Linked DNA regions of Solanum lycopersicum. The protein of the gene in region 1 interacts with the protein of each later gene in a pairwise test. Links are inferred from orthologs where the notes say so. Each region holds a gene or a part of one and is shown in the gene's direction. Other genes may lie near its edges.

What was found. The genes of interacting proteins can lie anywhere in the genome.
Region 2: the proteins of protein ACCUMULATION AND REPLICATION OF CHLOROPLASTS 3, chloroplastic (region 1) and cell division topological specificity factor homolog, chloroplastic interact in binary tests that used the Arabidopsis thaliana proteins (3 or more experiments, as listed by UniProt). The link is inferred for Solanum lycopersicum from reciprocal best matches to the Arabidopsis thaliana genes ARC3 and MINE1.

Annotation. Positions count from the first base shown.
Region 1 is NC_090800.1:2,338,133-2,348,905, reverse strand, and holds the end of protein ACCUMULATION AND REPLICATION OF CHLOROPLASTS 3, chloroplastic, read left to right. Parts: intron 1-329; coding exon 330-440; intron 441-710; coding exon 711-892; intron 893-1,892; coding exon 1,893-2,150; intron 2,151-2,252; coding exon 2,253-2,317; intron 2,318-2,455; coding exon 2,456-2,853; intron 2,854-3,289; coding exon 3,290-3,394; intron 3,395-3,722; coding exon 3,723-3,860; intron 3,861-5,518; coding exon 5,519-5,685; intron 5,686-6,509; coding exon 6,510-6,582; 3' UTR 6,583-7,003; downstream 7,004-10,773. UniProt on the Arabidopsis thaliana protein: Together with MIND1 and MCD1, regulates FtsZ ring positioning in chloroplasts in an ARC6-dependent manner. Z-ring accessory protein involved in the initiation of plastid division and division site placement (might functionally replace bacterial MinC).
Region 2 is NC_090804.1:6,241,768-6,251,417, forward strand, and holds cell division topological specificity factor homolog, chloroplastic, read left to right. Parts: upstream 1-4,261; 5' UTR 4,262-4,560; coding exon 4,561-4,647; intron 4,648-7,439; coding exon 7,440-8,057; 3' UTR 8,058-8,291; downstream 8,292-9,650. Other genes in the region: uncharacterized protein, read right to left, coding at 89-159, 498-861, 1,281-1,529. UniProt on the Arabidopsis thaliana protein: Acts as a topological specificity factor during plastid division and specify plastid constriction sites (such as the Z-ring) in a MCD1-dependent manner. Especially involved in epidermal plastids division in a FTSZ1-dependent manner.

The DNA of each region.
Region 1 (10,773 bases):
CATAAGGAGGAGAAAGAACAGAAAGTAAATTCATTCACCTTGTATTCAGACAACAACAACAAAATACGCAGTGTAGTCCCACAAGTGGGGAGACAGTAACTTCATTCATCTTGCATTCAGACAAATTATTAATTCTTATTGGTGAGCAGAAGAAGAAATTAGTGGATGTTAAAGTAATATACTCTATATAAAAAAATGGACCATTTCAATCCAAAAGTTCTTAAATTGGATCCCTCTCTCATGAAATTTGAAGATTCTGTTGCGGAACTTCATACTTTTTTTTAATTTTTTTGTCTGCTCAAATTAAAGGCTAAAGTGATTATTTACAGATTCTTGAAAGCTACAAAGAGGCAAAAACTGGATTCGGAGCTGGCTACAATGTCGAAACTTCAATTCTGCGAGCTGTATATGACTGCCCGTTCCTTGGTTTGGGAGTGAAGGTCAGAAATAGTTCAACTATTTGTCAGATTATATGCTTTCGGTTCCCATCCATCCACACACTTACAGCTAGTAATTCCTGCTTTGGACTTATGACTTCAATCAAGTTTATTATATCCTTTTAATTTAATCACTTTTCACTAGATTTATTGAAGGTATTTCCTGTAAGCTAGTATGGTTTCTCTCTCTATCTGACTCTCTCTCTCTAGACCTTGTGGTCTTCTGACCTCCATTTTGACGCCTTTATCCTCTTTGCTTATGTTCTTTCTTAGGGGTCAAATGGTGTGGTTATATGCATCATTGCTAGTTCAGGTGTTGTAAATTCCAGTGATGTGCGTAGCATCTTGCGCACGTTTCGCCAAACTACTGGATGTAATGGAGACATTGTGATATCAATTGTCCAGGAAGCCAATTTGGAGCCAAATTTAATAGTTACTACTGTAGTGACATGTGGGTAAGTTGTTAAATGAATGCTGAGCCAAAATCTATCCTCATCTTTTTGTTAAGAGTAGTTATATTTGTTTCATGAGATCTATCTTGTTTAGGACTTGCTACTCTCTAAATATATTTTTTCCTCTAATTTGCTTATGGCACTTCATGAATGCGCATTATATGAATTGATCTCCTTAATATAGGGTAGGGGTGGCAATCACCTGGGATGTGTGGGTGGTGGGATGATGATGATTGTGGACTGAGCTGTAATTGTTCTGTACAAGATGGTTAAGAGAGTAACTTATCAAAGGGACAACAACAACATAACCAGTGTTATCCCATAGGTGGGGTCTTGGAAGGGTAGAGTGTACGCAGAGCTTACTCCTCCCTCGTGGGGGTAGAGAGGTTGTTTTAGAAAGATCTTAGCTCAGGTAACACATATCGAAGTAGTTTGAAAAAAATATACATAAGTAAAGAGGACATAACAAATAATAGGGGAAGACGTTATAGAGCATTCAAAAAACAAGGAATAGTAACAATAGGCAATAGCCATATAAATGCGATAACTGAAGCACATGAATTAACGGGTAGTAACAGAAATCGTAGGACAAGAAACTACGAGAGTCTGTCTTTGGTCATTTTACCGCATATTGGTTTTAAGAACACACCATATCTGACATATATAACTATATTGAAGCTCTGATTTTTCCTTGGTGCTTTGGTTTAAAAAAAAAAAAAAGTTTCCGGCAAAATATATTTTATGTGCGTACTGACTAATCATTGAATGTCTAGTGCCTGCTATTGGTTGATATCAAGATACTGGAATTGTATCCTCTTGCCTTTTTGGTTTTGTTCGAGTGCCTGTATACTGTGTGTTTCTTTCTGTCTGGTTCTATTATTTGTTGGCACACTATTCACTTCAGATGTTTTATCAAATGATTTGCTATAGAGTTTAACCTGTTCTTTTAGCGAATTTGCACTACTATCTAAAATCCTAATTCTTGAGTATTTATTATTCATAGGTACGCTACACAGGAACCATCTGAAAAAAGTAGCTTATTTTCTAGACTAGCGCAACATATTCCTTTCATTTTTAATATCCTTAAGAAGCCAGATCCACCACTTCTAACTGCCAAAGAGAGTGAAATTGATGAGAGTCCAGAAACTTCTGATATGGCAGAATTTGTTTCTATGGATAATACACCTGAGGATATGTCCATCTATTCTGGGGAACTGCCGGCATTATTTCCTACCAATGGTGAAGAAACATCCTTTTTGAGGTCTTTTTCTACTCTTTTAGAACTATCTAAGTTCACCTTTGCTTAAATCATTCTTGGACGACTTATTGTGCTTGCTCTTAGAGAAAGTTTGTTGCTATGCAGAGATTATAATAATGTCTCTGATGAAAGGAAGATTGAACTGTCAAATTCTGATGTTGCAACTGAAGGTACATAATTATTTTCATGCAGTAGCATCTTGACATGAATGCAAGAAATATTCATCAATTGCAATAAGATGAAAGTGGACAACAAAGATATGAGCTTATAATGGAATAGTGAAATCCTGACCAGATTGAATTTTGCAGCACCTCTTGTTTTCAAAAGAGAGCTGCTCACAAGATGGAATCCGGGTCCAGGAAAAGACACTTCAGAAGGCTTAGCTGCAGAAGGGACTGAAAACTCGGAAGGCAAAAACACGGTTGACAATACCAGCACCTACAAACTTCCAGTTGGTGTAAAGCATAAAGAACAGTTGCAAACTAGTGCAGGTTCCTCAAACTCAAGAAGTTCAGGGAGGAAATCTGAAGAAAGTAAAGTTGCACAGCCTAGAGATATCTCAAATCTATCTCAGGATGAAGTAGATGAAGATTACAGCGAAATTATTTCAGATGTTTACAACTCCAACCTTCCCTTAGTTGAAAAAAGCTACGCCAGTGGCCCAAAAAGGAAAGGAGTTCTGTCTACTCGGGCAGCCTCTATGCTGGTAAATAGCCTCTCTTTTTTATTGTTACTATTATTTTATTATCACCAAGTGTAACAACTTTACAAAGCCAAAGCTCACTATCACACCAGCTGTATAACCTTACTCCAATTAACTAGAAAAGTAAAGACTGTACTATATGTCTAGTTCTAATTGTAGCTCTCACGTTACTTACAGGAGCTATTTCTCTTGCTATTCGATCTGGCATCGTACTCTTTTTCTAAACAATCCTTTGGTTTTGCATTTGTGTTTTGGTGCTTGTCCATCGTTTAAGCTGCAGGACATGGCACCAGAGCCATTTCCTCCTCCCTCCACCTCAAATTTATTCATGTATAGAGGAAGCTAGACATCTTAGTGTGTTGAATGGTTGTATGACAAGGTAGAATTATGTTGGAGAGTTTTGACGCAAAGTTAAATTTATTTTTATCATCATACTCAGGAAGCTGAACGGGATTCAAAAAAGAAGTGGATCCCTGTAGTTGAAATGAAATACAGGGGAGGTATATACAGAGGTCGCATTGAAGGAGGCCTCCCAGAAGGAAAGGTACTTTGATCTATCTATTACAGTCTCAGAAAACCTGTTTTCTGGGTTACTTTTTTTTAACTACGTGCAGTGCAAAACAGTTTTTTTTTTCCGAAGTATTATGAACCATCTTTTTGAATATTTTTAACATAAAATTTTATGATTTGTAGTGCTTTTAATATACTTTAGCAGTACGTAAATTTATTTTCAAAAAAATCGTTATCTTAATTCACTCTGTAACTTAGATGCATTGACCTTCATGCTATGAACCATGCCGCTCAACATTGGGATGATGAGTATATTTTTTTTCTCGTGTTTGTCTGGATGAAGTGAATTTTGAATTTTATAGGGCTGCCTGTCTCTTGAAGATGGAAGCAAATACGATGGTATGTGGCGCTACGGGAAGAAGTCAGGATTGGGTACATTTTACTTCAATAACGGTGATACTTATCGGGGTTCATGGAGAGATGATCTCATGCATGGAAAGGTACTAATAATCCTTAAGTGCTTTTCAGAGTTTGATAGTTCTCTATTAATTTACTATACAAAAACTAGTGTGCGTGCACTTCTGCTGCGTGTTATCAGCTTCTCATTCTATATTTCCTGTTGTTTCAGAAAGTTGTAGTATTTCAATATGTCATGGATTCCCTCAGTTAATGAAAATTTTCTGTTTCCTTTATTAAAAAAGAACACCATGGATAGTGAGACACCTTTTCGAAATATACCAACCAGCATGCAAAAGAGCTTCCTAGGCACGCACGTGGTCTATAGTAGAAAAAGAACCCGAGAGCTTTTTAAGAATGTGGAAACTCGTTTGTGCATTAGAAGAGCGTGTTGGTTTTTGGTCAAACATTTTACCTACTATATTTACGTTTTGGAAGACTGGGTGCTCTCTTTGAAGGACCATGTTTGAGATTATCCACTTTCTGTATATAAATACTCCCATTTAAATCAGTAAATTTTTTACTTCATCAAAAAACAAGCCAACTATCCAAATTATTCCGATTAATTGCTTTTCAAGCATCAATTGAGTTGAACTTGATAACAATTGTTTTCAAGAATTCTGAAGTATTTTGGAGAAATACTTTGTATTTGTGGCATCTTTCGTGTAACTTCTGGATCTGTACAGATTCATCCATGCTTGGTTTCATAATGAGAATTTGCGAAGCTGATTCTTTGAGAATGGTAACAGTTATTATAAACTCCAGCAGAAAGGCAGTGATGGGTGCCATATTTACAAACACAAGACAGCTCCATGGCACCCTTGATTCTTCTTTCAAGGATTCTAAAGCTTCCAAAATTGATACTGAATGATCTGTATAATTTTCATTACACCAAAAGTGAAAAAATAAAATACAATTCAACTCGGATCTTTTGGGAAGAATTATATCTATTCCGAAACATCTAGAGTTTCTTTCCTTCCGGATGGTCCCCCATATGCATGTAGGAATTATTCTCCATCTACTCGTGGCTGATACATCTGCCTGAACTGTTCCAACATGACCAACAACTCACTAGTTGATCTTGGCATTATCCATTCAACGCCTATCAATTTAGGAAGATCTGACTTAGCTAGCTAGTGATGAAATCTTCGTTTATCATTCTATTCTCTTGGAACAACGAGCCTAAATGTATAAATTGTTTGCATCTTGGCACCGCAATCCTATATAGTCTTTTTTACCTCAACGTGGCTCTTCTCATGCTTACTAAGCTTGCAGTGCATATATTCAGTCATACACTACTTGTCCTAAAACCACTACTCTCAGAAATGATTATCCATAGTTCAATTTTTTGGTCGACAACCTTGTTGATTTCGTCAATTAACTTACTATGGTCAGCAAATAGCATGCATCATGAGACCTCATCTTGTGTTGTGTTGAACAAGTAGGGATTCAATGTCGATCCCTATTGTAGACAACTATTATGGGAACTCCTTTGTATCTCCTACTACTGTTCTCATTCTAGTGACAATTCCTTTGTGTTTCGGTATATGATAGTTTATTTAGCAATGTTCAAATAAAAATTTGTAGATGCCGTGCATATCACTTGTCAAGCAGATTTTGCACACTCTCCTTTCTCTGGAAAAAGTTTGCATCATCCTAGCTGTCATTGTCTAAACAAATAACACTCTTTAACTATATATAGGGATGGTTTTACTTTCATACTGGGGATCGATGGTTTGCGAACTTCTGGAAGGGAAAGGCTAATGGAGAAGCCCGTTTCTATTCCAAACTTGGTGATGTTTTCTTTGGTCACTTTAAAGATGGATTGCGCCATGGTCAATTTCTCTGTATCAACATTGATGGGACGAGGTATGTTTGTTTAGTTCTCGGTTTTCTAATTCAGACATCGTTTTTACACATTAAAATACAAACGCTGAACTGGAATTTAAAGTTGGATTAACTCAGAAATAATGTTTATTTCCTACTTGAACCATCTCAAATCTTACATCTTTTGAAGTTCCTAGGCTTGCATACGACTTAAATATCTGCAGTACATCTGTCTGTCATAAAAACATAGTTAAGGCTCCATAGTTCTTCCAATTATAAACCTAGGATATAAGGTGAAGAGGTCCATGCTAATACCAGCGGATTGCAGAAATTTATCTCATCCTTCACTCCTTAAACTCCCGTCCGTTCCAAATGTGCTACTTTGTGTTTTTATTTTCCAGAATTTGACACACGTTTCATTCTGCATATTACATGAACTAGTTCTCAGATATCTGCATATAAATTTCATTTAAAATTGGGAATAGTGCAATGCTTAGACACTCGATATTGATATGCAATGGCTGTGGGTTTTAGTATGAGCCAGACTATTCTTCTAATAGATACCTATATGACCAATGTATCAAGCACCCTGTTAGGTTACTAACTCATTACATGTCTGAGAGGTCGATGAACCACCAGCCTTGGCACCACCTGAACCAAGTTGGTTGTACATCGGGTTTCACTTTTTTTTACCGGTAGTGCTAGCTGAATTTTGATCTCTTCGACTCGTTGTGACCAAGAAGCTTGTACACTAATCGATCTTCATGATTTCTGGGCTCTTCTATGATGCTTACACGAGTACTCTTTTGCTATTGTTAATTAAGTACACTTCTTTTGTTATTAATGTAATCCTCATGTTCTATTAGGAGTATAGAGGAATGGGATGAAGGCCTTCTTCAAAGCCGAAAGAATTTGGATTCTGATGCAGAAACCGGGTAGACTGTCTATCGTATCTGTAAAAATATACGATCCTTCGTACATTCTTGGTGTACTAGAGAAACAAATGGCAGAAATATATCAAGCAGGGGCGGGCGGATGCCTATTACGAAGAGTTTTCTTCAATCAGCTTCAATGATCATAACAAAACTATGCTGTAGCAGTAGCAGCAGCTCAGAGTATTATATGAACATCCTCTAAGCATTTGGTTCTTTATTTGACTGGTGAAATCCAATTTGAAAATCTCCAATTCTAACAGATCTTGTATATTATGTAAATAGTAATTTAAAGTTATCTTTTTACATCTAGGGGCATTAGCTCTTGTTGATTTTTATTTTAGGGTATGCCCGAAATTCCAGACATACATTTATACTATTCTAAGGTTCTATTACCTCTGAGCTTATTTATAAATAATCTTTTATTTCTTTTCGGCCTTCGTGACACTATCAACCAAATAGTTTGAAAAGATTGTCAACACGTGTTGGGCCTCAGAAGATAGTGCCACGTAGGTCGAAAAAAGTCAAAATTATTTATAAAATAAGTTCGGGGGTTAATAGGACCTTAGTACAATATATGTGTGCTTATGAGATTTTGGGCATATGGGGGTACTTATACATTTTTTCTATTATTTATTACTCCCTCTGTCCACAATTGTTTGGCAGGTATACTAAAAATAGATGTCCAAGATTAATTGTCAATTTAAATAATCAAGAAATAATTAGTCATCTTTTTTCCAAATTTGCCCTTAATGATAATGTAGTTCAATTGGGAAGTTAGGTAGACTTTTGATATTCTTGATAGGGTTATATTAGTCAAATTACACATTGTATTAAATTTTTCTTCAGGGGTGTGCATGACTTTAACATGACAAATAATTATGGACGGAGAGAGTATTTTTATTTGGAGCACCTTGTGTATTTTGGAGTTTCATGTTCTTAATTCTTATCGAAACAGAGTCGATAGCATATAATTCGAAAAATTCATGGACTAATAATACTCGTGAAAACAAATATATTCCTGAATTTTTATTTCGTGACATACAAATTTCAGAACAAAAAAAAACGTTTGTCATTTGAAAATAGTGGGTATTTTTTTTCCATTCAATAAGAATTACGCGATTATTTCAAATTTTTCATGTGTTAGTACATGAATTTTACGATGATATGAATTTCCTACACTTACAAAAACTATACAAAACCTTGTGTAATGACTTGGAGAAACAATATCTATAGCCTCACTATAATTCACGCCACTTGCTTAGCATTTAGGGGTCACCCAATCAGATTTTCTCCGTTTTTCGTGTATATTAGTACATAAACTTTTGGTGATATGTATTTCGGATACTTTTGTTTACAAAAATTATACAAATCCTCCATAATTACTTCGGAAAACATTACATATAACTTCACCATAATTTACGTAAGTTATATTTTTTTATATAAGAAAACAACATAAAGTTGCACATATGTATATTAAGAAAAAAAAATTAGCACTACCTGTTAAATAAAATTTTAAATAACAAAAAAACAAATAAATTTTAGAAAAAATATCTAATAATATTTTTGAAAAGAATATTCAGAATAAAAATCATTTTCTCATTCCAAGTTTAAAATTTGTCACTATGTATATCTTGTTTTGTCAAACTTTATGGGAACAAAATGTCTTTACTATTATGTGGATTTTAATGAAGAAAAAACAAAAAGAAAAATTATCTAAAATAAATAAGGTTGTAATTTTTTTTAGCGAAGTCGATTGACACTCCTTGAACAAAAGTGATATCGATATATTAATAGGCTCATCGAGTTTTTTCAACAAACAAAATAAGGCCCAGGGTAGTACGAATTTTTTATTTTCCATTCAGTCACATTAGAGCTACGACTAAATCTGAATCACGCACTGAAGAGCTCATTCGAGAGTAGTGTTCTTAACAAGATTTTCTCCGTACCAAAAATAATCGAACTCGAGACCTTTGTCAAGACTGAAACAGCCGCACCACTATACCACAATCCATATCGATTCACGATTCTATCAATTTGTGTTAAATAGTTCATAACTAATATAAATATATTTAAAAATAATTCTATCATAAAATTGTCATTAGATAATATGTGGCAAACTTTTTTTTTTTCTTTTGAGTGAAGTGTGTTACAATAATTTCAAATATTTGTGTTAACTATATATAGCTAAGTCATATATATATATATATATAGTTATTGAATTAAATTCACCAGCTCATTTAATTGAATATTTGCATTCAGAAGCATTAATTGATATAGCTCCAGGATTAGGGTTCTTAATTAATATGGAGAAATGACTATTCAAAGAGATCGTGAATGGATCTACAGTGTAATTTATGAATTTACGTAAATTTAAAATTTTTATTTTACTTACATTTTTATACGTATATTAGAAATCTTGCCCCAATGAATATCGCTTATTCCATATTACTTTTTCTGTTAATTTATTATAATAATTTATAAACTTTAAATTCCGAATTTAATTGCCCTTAAAACAACATATCACACCAATCAATTACCTCAACAAGAATTCAATGAATTTATTGAATATTAAATAGTAGTACTCCCCAAAGTTTATTTATTATATTAAATTTAAAATATAGTTAAAATTGTACTGGAAATATATTTTAATTAAACGTGAAAATTTAAGTCAAGAGCCCATCTGTAATTAAATCTTGGATGCATTTTCCTATGAGGTCCTTCAATGCCTTACAATTATTAATAATAATAATAATAAAAAACTTACAAACTGTACTAATAGTTTTTATTATAATTTTATTTATTTTTTCATTAATTGTTTTAATTAAAACTCTACTTTAATTTACTTCTAATATCAGGTAGAGAGCAAATTGGATTCACTACATCACGTGCCATTGACATACTATCACGTGAATACATTATCCTCTTTATTGTTGATTTTCGGAATCGGAAATGATGTATTTCTGGTGTATCATTTATTGAGTTCACGATAATAAAAAAGAAGAATCGACAAAGGAGTGGATAATTTCATTTTTGCATTGTAATAATTTTACTAGTACGAGTCACTTTATACGAATAAAGATATTGCAGAAGACAAAATTAATTTTTATATATATATATATATATATATCAAAATATATAAAATCTCAAAAAAACATGTGAAAAGTGTGCTTGCATAAATAATATTGTATGTCAAACTTAAAATAAATTTATAATTTCGAAGGCAAATTCTTGTAATTTCAATAACATTGTATTGGTCTAAAGATATTTATAAAGTAATTAAATTTGTAAAATAATATGAACTTAGATTAAGAAAAATAGATAATATTTTCTTCAAAAAAACAATATTTTTAGTGAAAGTAGAAAAAATAAATTTCATAAATAACACTCTAAATATGTTCCTTCGAATCAAACACATCCCAAAATTCGTGTCATTCTATCAACTTGAAAAATTAGATAAATTCGTAAAAAAGAAATTATAATTCTGAAATAACTTTATCCGCAAAACAAACGTTTCCTTTGTTTTATTTATTTATTTATTTTGTCAACATTAATTGTTCAATGTCAAAGCAACATATTCATTTCTTAGAAATGAAGAATTGAATTATACAACTTTTCATCTATATATATCTATAGTAACCAAATTGAATAATAAAAATTAACTTTGACCCGTAATTTCCTATTTTAGTTTTAAAAAAATAGTAATTTTTTTTTAAATAGTTACATTAAGATATATATAGATAATTATTGGACTAATTTTGCTTTTCAATTCCCCTTCTTTTCACGTTTTCTTTCTAGAGGACTAAAGAAAAATATATAAAATATCAATTAACTGACGAACCATGATTATGATAAAGTGATAAATACTAGAGGTCTCGGGTTTGAGTATCTCAGGTATAGAGTTGTCTTTGTTGGGGATCATTCTACCTTCAATGTAGGACTTTTCAGCGCGAATCCAAATTTTAATCGAACTTCAATATGATCTCATGAATATCGAACACCAGACGAAAATAAAAAAAAATAAATTAAACCCTTTCTTTTAGGTAGAGTACTGGCACTCCATTTTTTTAATGTAAAAATCTATTAATAGTAAAAAACATTAAAAGTCTATAATTAATTATGGCAAAAAATATTGCATCTCTAGCAACAATATTTGACATAAGAACATGTATCATAATAATTTTTATTGACTAATATG
Region 2 (9,650 bases), on another chromosome or scaffold:
AGGTTGGAGAAGTATATTTCAGGTTTATAACTAAATAACTCTGCATAGAATGAAACTTTAGGACTAGCAGCATAGTCGCAAATGTTACCAGGTGCCCCAGTAGGAGGGAAGGAATGACAAATGTCAGAAGACCGGCTTCCAACTTTCCATAGCAAAGTCCTGTTCCAAGATAACAAAAATAAACTCAGAGATCCTTAAATGAACGGAGACCGGAGTGTTCTACAGAAAGTGGAAGTTAAGAGAAGTATAATTTGTTAGATATGAATTATCTATCATAACCGAAAATGATAACTACAGCTAAGGGACAATCAGTAAGTTCCTTTATTCTGAAAATCAGTATACATTTTGTTACATCTCCAAAACCTCAACTTGCAAACAAAAATTACTATCTCTACTAGCCAAATGTGGTATCTAAAATGAGTTCCCATTTGATAATACTGTGATGTGGTAGGTGAAATTGTAACTGCATGTTTATAAAGATGTAACTGGAACCTAACCTTCCTTGAACACAAGTCCTGTCAATGATGCAAATAGTGGTCCGACAAACCAAACAGCTATTGGATTCTCGATAACATATTGAACTAGATTCATGCCAGCTGGGTGAGCAAGGGTAGAATATGTTGCCAATGATCCGATAGCACCGAGGAACCATAAAGCTTGAAGAGAGCGTTTAATTTCAGTCACATAAATGTGAATAAGAAATAATGACAGGCCAAGTCCACACGATCCAATTGCATAAAACAAATCAAGGTTTTTCTCAATCAAGTTACTCGTAACTGAATCATTGGGAAGCAAAGCCACAGAAGACGCAAGAACGAATGAAGCAGCCGCAGTTACTAATCCTGATCTGTACAAAATTACCTGCAAAGTTGATAACATTAACTTTGCATCATCGAGAGTTCGCCATCTTGATTGTTGCAAGAAGAAAATTTTTGTTTTATCTAACAAAATTCATTCAGGCAGGGGACATAGTAACAAAGACAAAACTGAAAAGAATTAATGAACATGAAGGGAGAATCTTTTGTTCATTAACATTGTCAAAAAGAATGCAAACCGATTTCAGTGTATTAGATTGCTAATATTAGCATCCTTCCTTTAGAAATATAGTAAGCATAAATATATTATTGTAGGAGCACAAAGTGCCAGAAACCTTCAATTAAATTTAAGCTATGCTGCATACATTTCTCTTCAACAGTGTTGTGCAACGAATTCAAATGCAACATCTCTAGGTTAAACTAATATATAAACAGCATGGCACAACAGGGTGGAGTTGGTTTTACCTCTCGAATATCAGAGTCTTCGATTGTCCAAGGGCCATAAACGCCTTGATAAATTGTAGGTTGGATCGTCTGGGACTGTGTCTCTGGCTGAGAGCCTTCTCCCAGAGCCCTGCACTTGCAGTCAAAATTGGACGATATTAGGGGTTTGCATTTGCCTAGCTGAAATTTAGACCGCGCTTTTCTAGTAGGAGGCGAGATGCTAAGTGAAAGTGAAATGTATGCTGATGCCGATGCTGTTACTGAATTCATGCTCCCTGGCTAGCTGTTGTCGATCAATGAACTCAAAAACTGTTTCCCCTTGTTCATCTACTCCTGTTAAACCCACAAGTCAAGTAAATGAGAATGTGTAAATGTTATGCATAAGACAAACGAATTCTACATTTACAAAAATATATCCACAAGAACAAAATCTTACAGCCATACTTAGCATCAGGAATGACTACCCATTCCTCAATCCAATAAATCAAAAAGTGATAGCAAAGGAAAACACAACAACAACTTACGCTGTATAATCCCACAAGTGGAGTATTTTGTGTACGCAGACCTTACCCGAGAGGCTATTTTGAAAATGAAACTTAGTTATATTACTAAAAACAACGCAAAACAGTAGTGAAGAAATTTCATGTCATTAAATGAGGACTATACCTTTGTATTTCCTCCTCCTTTTATGCCTAAAAAATACAAAAAATTAAACACCTTGACCATTTTTGTAGCTTAATCCTTGTTATACACCGATTCTTTCAGCCAAAGTTTTGAACAACGCATAATCTAAAAATTTACTTTAAAAAATGACTTCATTCAGGAAATTTATCAAACACATAGGATACAAATAGTTTAATCATAAGAGTCAATAATATCCAATTCTTAGCTAATAGAAGAGAACTCACCTGAAAAATTAGCTAATAGAAAAGGACTCACCGGAAAAATTAGCTAATAGAAAATGACTCACCGGAAAAATCATGGCTAAAATTGGACAATTTTGGTCGATGAACAAGAATGCAAAGGCTGGTAGTGGTGGATACACGTGGAACTGATCCAACAAGGTTTTTGTTGATACTACTAGAATATTCCCTACGGTTAAGCAAATTTAAGATAATCATAAAATCACTATTTTATATAAATATTATTTAAGATAATCGTACCACAACTTTATAAATTAGTTACATGGTTTGATTTCGAGTTTATGTAATTAATCACGTTTATATATGTATTATTTGTTAAAATATACAAATGCATATGTATAATATACAATTATTCAACCATCATATACAATTCACATCTCTCCCACTCTTTTCCCTCTCTCGCTCTCCTCTCTCGTCTCTCTCACAATCTCGCTCGCCTCTCTTCTCCCTCTTGCTATCTCACTTGTCATATATACAAATTCATATGTATAAGACATATTATTATTTAACCAATATACATATACAATTCAAATTTCTCTCATTCTGTCCTCTCTCGCTCGTCTCTCTCTCAATCTCGCTCGTCTCTCTCCTGCCTCTCTCAATCTCGCTAATTTAGTGGCTATACGTCAAAGTTTCCTTTTAAAAAATCAATACTTTGTATTAAGGGGAAAGACTCAAATATGTCATTGAACTTTCAGAAAAGACACATTTATTCCATCAGTTAAAAGTTTGACTCATTTATATCATTACTATTTAAAAAAAGGCTCATTCATGCCATTATTTTTTAATAATGATTTTGCAAAATCATTCACGTGATCAATTATAATTCGGTCACGTCATAAATTTTTTTAATAAAGAAAATTTTTAAAAAATTAATTCAATTTTTATTCAGAATTTTAATTTGTTTATTTTAAAAAATTTATGACGTGGCCAATTATAATTCGGCCACGTCATCAATTTTTTAAACAAAAAAAAATCTAGTTCAATTTTTTTTCTTCATAATTATGATTTTTTTATTTAAAAAATTGATGACATAGCCGAATTACAATTGGCCACGTGTCAAAATGGTTTTGCAAAATCACTGTTAAAAAATAATGGCATGAATTAACCTTTTCTTGAACGGTAATGACATAGATGAGTCAAACTTTAAACGGATGACATAAATAAGTTTTTTCTAAAAATTCAATGGCATATTTGAGTTTTTTTATTCTTGTATTAATAATAATAATAATTATAATATATTGTTTGGTATTACCTTGCGTCTCTAATTTCACCCCCTTTTCTATTGAAACCGTCAATAAGGTGAATACTTGGTTGTTTATGCGATTATTAGTAATGAAGATTGGTTTGCGAGTATTAATATAATACTAAAGAGATTATTGTTATAGATAATTACATACCTTAAACGAGTAGTTTTCATCTTTAGATATTTCATTCTGTGTAGAATAATGTATTTATTTTTACATAATTTATATAAATATTTTTTAAGATAATCGTAAAATCACTATTTTATAATTCTAAGTCGATTCTTTTCAATGCATTCAATCAAACACTATGTTCGTAAAAAAAAGTCAGGTGCTGAATCGAGAAAAGACACATGAAGGAAGTGGCAGCTCAGGTTTGACTTAATGACACTGAATATATTCTCAACGGTGATGAAAAGAAATAACCTTGTTCCAAGACATTCCAAGTTCACTACACTTATACATCCACAAGCCCGCCTAGCTCTAGAGCGTCGAGATTTGACATCGGACCATACCTAAATATGATAAGCATGAAGCCCAACCACTATCGAAAGATTCGCGATACTCCTCCTCCAAAAATTGCATAACAATTGCAGACGTGAGTCAAGGAGAGTCTACGTGAAGGTTGTGTTCTACAAAAGTTGCTCTATTAAGCTTTGTCATTCATTGTTTTGTTCATTATCAACAACATCAAACTTGCCCGATGCCGCAACCAAATTCTAGTACCAGACCTCGAGGTGTTTCTATTCAATTACTTTACTGTTTAATTTCATTTTATATTACACTCGTTATTCATTCATATTGATTAAAACAAGTTATTTTCTCCCTAAATTACGCATTCTCGGTCATCTCAGTCTGTATATACTCGAGTCACGTCAATAAATTTAAATTTACCATTTTTATCTCAAGCGAAATTTTATGCAGAGATTAGTTATTCGAATACATAACTAAAACACAATCCCTAAAGATCAAAACAAAAGAATTCACATGTACCCGGGAACGACGTCGTAATAATGAGCTGAGTACGTAGGGTTGGCGTGAGCTCTACTGTATTGGCAATTTCACCTGAAAGTTCCCATTTCCAAACCCTAACCTCCGTTTCTGTGCGAAGTAGAAGCAGTGAGAAAGAGAAAAATGGCAATTTCAGGAGATTTTAGGGTCTCCGCTACATTGGTTCCATACCCAAAGAATCCACTTCGGACCTCTTTACCTCCTTCAAAGGTTTGACTTTTCATAGATTAACAAATTCATGTTTTTTATACGATTTTAAGTGAATTGTTTGTTGGGAATTTGTTAAGTTGTTAACTTTATGGGAATGTTAGCTTCATCCAATCATTTCGCCAAATCTAAGAGATTGTGTTACTGTAATTTTTGAGGAAATTTCTATAGCTTTTCTTGGGTACCTTTTTTTAAAATTTGGTGATATGGGTCTACATTTGTTTACAAGTAGTTGTGATTTGTGAATGAAGTGAGCATCATGAGGTTTCAGATTGAAATCCCAGCAGAAATGAAAAAAACTAGGTGATTTCTTCTCATTTGTTCTAGCATGGGTGGATAGAGTTACTTGGATTCCTGTTGCTGTTGGGAGGTGTACAATGTACTCTTTTATAGTCAAAGATTCGTTTTTTTCTCCTCGGTTTTGAATGTAGAGTTCTAAGATTGAGAAACTTTCAGAATTGGAGGGCTTAAGTGCTAGGTGTCTTGTGTTTTTTAAAAGATGAGTAAGTGCTTGGTAACTATGTGAATTAGCTGTTTCCACCTACTGCTGATTAAGCTAAGTGGGAAAAGTAGCTAGGGCTAGTATGGACTATGGTTGATGGAGTTTGGAAATAGGTGAGAAGCATCATCTGAGTAATGTCTAGCTTATTGATCAGGGCTCTATTTAAGGATGTGTTTGGAGCTTCTGGGACTTGTTAGGTGAAGGATTTTCTTGCTAATTCTCTTTTGGCATGCGTGAACAGGAGTTGATCAACAGTGAAGGCAGGGATCATGAGTCCCAATGCCTTTGCTTGAGGTCTATATGTACACACACACACATGTTGAAACTTTTTTAGAAGTATTTTTACAGTCAATTGAGCATATTTTGTTACAAAAAAAAAGTAGTGAGCTTAGAGGTACTCCACACCCCTGGCTTATGATTCTGGACCTGCTTTTGTGACGGAAGCTTGGGTAATGGTCCCATGTTGTTGGTGTGTGTGTATTAGGAAAGTTCCTGTATGGTTATTGATGACTAAATTAATTTAGTTTTTTTTCCCGCTTTAAATAAGAGTTGATGGACATAATCTTAATCACCACTTTTCTTCTGGCTTACTTCATTTACATGTGAAGAAAATGAACTTAGGGTCTATGCGACCTCAAAAGCTAGCTATGAGATGAGGATTGTGCTAGACTGTGTACGGAGAAAACATACCATTCCCTCAAATATGGGACGGCTCCACCCCCATGCTCATACACACCCACCCACCCACCAACCCAGACCGAACTGGACATTTGGTGTGTAGAGAACATAACATGGGCGTCCATTGGGTAAACTAAGAACAGTGATGAGTTTGGTTGTGATGAACCTTGGGCTTAATTCAACATGAAAAGGTACCTCATGAGGTAAGGATTGTCCAAGACTATGTGAGGAGATAACAACCCATTAACTCAGGCTCAACCAATGTTCTAGTGGAAGAGAGTGTTTCCCACTGAATTGCTTGGACATTCACTACACTTTTTCCTTCTTTCTTGAGATGATGGCTTTTCTGTTAGGACTTAGGACACAGTAAAGTTTTCAAAATTATCTCAATGCATTGATTCGTTTGAGCTTATGTTGTTTGGAACTTTGGTTGTTTTTTCCCTTAACAGTTAACATTTTCTACGTGAATTTGGTGCCTTAACTCCGACTAATTTACATCTGCTCATGTTAGCATAGCACTAATTTACACCTGTTCATGTTAGCATAGCCACATTTTTTTAGTAATTTGATTTATAGGCATGTAGTTATTGCACAGATGGTAATGCCATTGGTGCATAGCCTTTCCAAAAACATGCACCATTGACATTATCAGACTTAAATATGTACTTGTGGTCTTGTTGCTTGAGACCTCTTCAATAACGCCTAATATGGTTCCTATAATTGCAATGAGGACTGAGTGGTTGACACTTCTAATACCGAATATTTGTGTCGCGGCATATTAGAGAAGCTGGCTAGGTCCTATTTAAAAGAAAAGGCTAGACTAATTGGTGCCTACTTGGTCTTCGTCTCTTTTGCCGAGATGGTTGAATTAGTTAACTGGGCCCTAAATGTGATTCACAGTTCAACTGGTCTTCTTCATTCTGCCTGGTACCAGGTCGATATGTGCTCAAAAGTTGCTTCCTTGATTTCTAGTTTTAGTTCAATTTTGTCTTCCTTTTTTCCCTCTTTGGATCTTAGAGCCTAGCTAAATGTGAGATGTTGTGTCCAAGCTGGATCAGATGTGCTCAAGGTGTAAAATATTCATGGTCATACATTTGCATCAATTGGGTCCATGTGTGCGTCTCTGTAAAAAGTACTTTGAACTCTTAACTCATCAGTGGATATGCTTGTGCAATATGTTTATTCATTGATTCACCTGGATTTATCGTTTGCTTCAAATGCTGAACTATATTTTTTTTCCTTGATAGATGAAGAAGCAATAAAATGGTTATGTTTACTTATTCCCCAACGAAAAACTTTTGCCGATATCCTTTTAAGTGCGTTCTCTATATCTTTTGAATCCTAGCACTTTCAAAGATTGGGTTATTGGTAAACCATGCTTGAATGTAGATTTTTAATATTTGCATCTCTACTTGTGCTTTTTACTAAAGCTGTGTCAGAAAAATTGTAAGCATTGGGAAATAATGGTTCCTACAAGCTGTGCAATATGTAGGAAAGCGTGTGCGTCCTAGCATCTTGTAAACAATTTCATAAAATGTGCCTAAATTTTTGTGTTGTGTTTTCCCATTGTTTGTATCATGACCACAATGAAAGATAATTTTCTTTCACATTGCAGGTAGATTTTAGTGCCTTTCTTAATGGTGGATCTAGTTCCTCTGAGGTGTTGCCCAAATGGTCTCGTCTATCATCTGATAGCCATAGCTTCCGATGCCACTCAAGAAAGCCTCTTGGGATTCTTGGAGACTATAAAGTAGCAGCAAGTTCCATCAGCCAGGAATTTGATAATTTACTCCTCAATGCTATCAGCATGAGCTTTTTTGAGCGCCTAAGCTTGGCTTGGAAGATAATGTTTCCACCATCCCCTTCGGCAAGTAATTCTGCTGCTAATGTTGCTAAGCAACGCCTGAGGATGATTCTCTTCTCTGATAGATGTGCTGTCAGTGATGAGGCCAAACAGAAGATTGTAAGCAACGTCGTTAGTGCTCTCTCTGATTTTGTGGAAATAGAATCGCAGGAGAAAGTACAGCTGAGCGTCTCAACGGATCCAGACCTAGGGACAATCTACTCTGTCACAGTGCCAGTCAGACGGGTGAGATCAGAATACCAGGTAGAGGATCCAACTGGGACAATAACAAATGTTGAGTACAAAGACACTGGAGATAATTCTGGTTCAGTTGATGTCAAGTTCGACTTTTACATTCCAGACGAGAATTTCAATGACTATGGTATGTGAAACCTGTACATGCCTTTGCCTAACCGGAAAGTGGGTTGAAATGTCTTGTTTGTCTGGCATTTGATAAATTCTTTTCACCTTTTTAAACATACTTAGTAGGTGTTACGATCAACTTAGACTGCTGTAAATACCTGAAAATCCCTTTTGGGAGTGTTCGATGAATTTGCTAGTATTGGTTACAATCCAAGACACTTTTGTAACAATTCGTTATATGTAACCATTGTTTTTAGGCAAGTGTGTATCTTCAATGCATTTTTTTTGTGTTTGTAAAAGAGTATTTCTGTTTGCAGGAAAGATATATCGGAAAAAGTTGGTTATCGAGATGAGATAGATAAGGATATATCACCTTCTATATGAGATATAAAATGGTTTTCGGGATTAATCAATATTCATAACCAAATGCAAAGATAATACATTTTTGGTTGGTATTTTTCTTATTATACATAGAGAAAGCTAAAGAAGCATTACCTATATTGTATACTAATTTATCTTAAAAAAACAAATCGTTAGACTAATTCGATTTATTTGTTGCAATTTTCTTATTTAGAACTACTATTATTCTATCGCAATAATAGAAGTCCAGTTTTACTTTGGATGAGATTTAAGTAGTGAAATCATACGTACCTTGATATTTAACTTAATGCATTATAATTGGGAGATAAATACGACTTTTTCGAAAGAACATGAGAAAATATTGTTACTACTCCCTTCATTTCAAATTAAATGAGTTGTTGAGATATTTTTTCATTTTTCAAATTAAATTAGTTGTTCAGTTTTCAAGAAATTTATTGAGTTGTTGAGACATTTTTTCATTTTTCAAATTAATTAGTTGTTCAGTTTTCAAGAGTATTTTTAGAGTGTTATTTCAATTTTAATCTTCACTAGTTAATATTGAAATTAATGATTAATTAATATTTGAGGAAAGGATCAAAATAGTCTCTCTTCTTTGGGTTAAGGCTCAAAGTGGTTCTTGAGTTTTCACACGGAGGACTAATAGTTTTTCATGTTTGCAATATTGGTGCACTTTTGGTTTTTCTTCAAAATTTTACCTATTTTTTTGCATTGATTTATCCATAACCTATGTATGGGATGTTCAATCTTCATTTTATATATTTAGTAGAAATAACAACTCCATATCGAAGAATGTTAGAAGAAAAAAATTTGTTTTGTTTAGTAGAAATTTTATAGCAGGTAAAGTTCAGATGTTCATCACGATAATTTCACGCGCAATAGTATAATTTTTTCTTTTTCTATAAAGTCATATGTTAAGATGTTCTTAGTTTAGTTGCAGTAATATTTCTAGTGAACAAAACAAGATTTTTTTCTTATCACCTTCTCTCAGATAGAGTTATTATTTCTATTAAATATATAAAAAGACGACTGGACATTCCTTATATAAAATTTTGAACAAAATAAATGTTAAAAAATAGGCAAAAAGTTTTAGGATAGGACCAAAAGGACATCAATGTTGCAAAGATGAGAGAGTATTAGTGCTCCATGTGAAAACTCAAGACTGTAAGTCTTAACGTAAAGTTGAGAGATTATTTTGAGTCTCTCCTCATTAATATTTAGTTATTTTAATCATAAATTTAA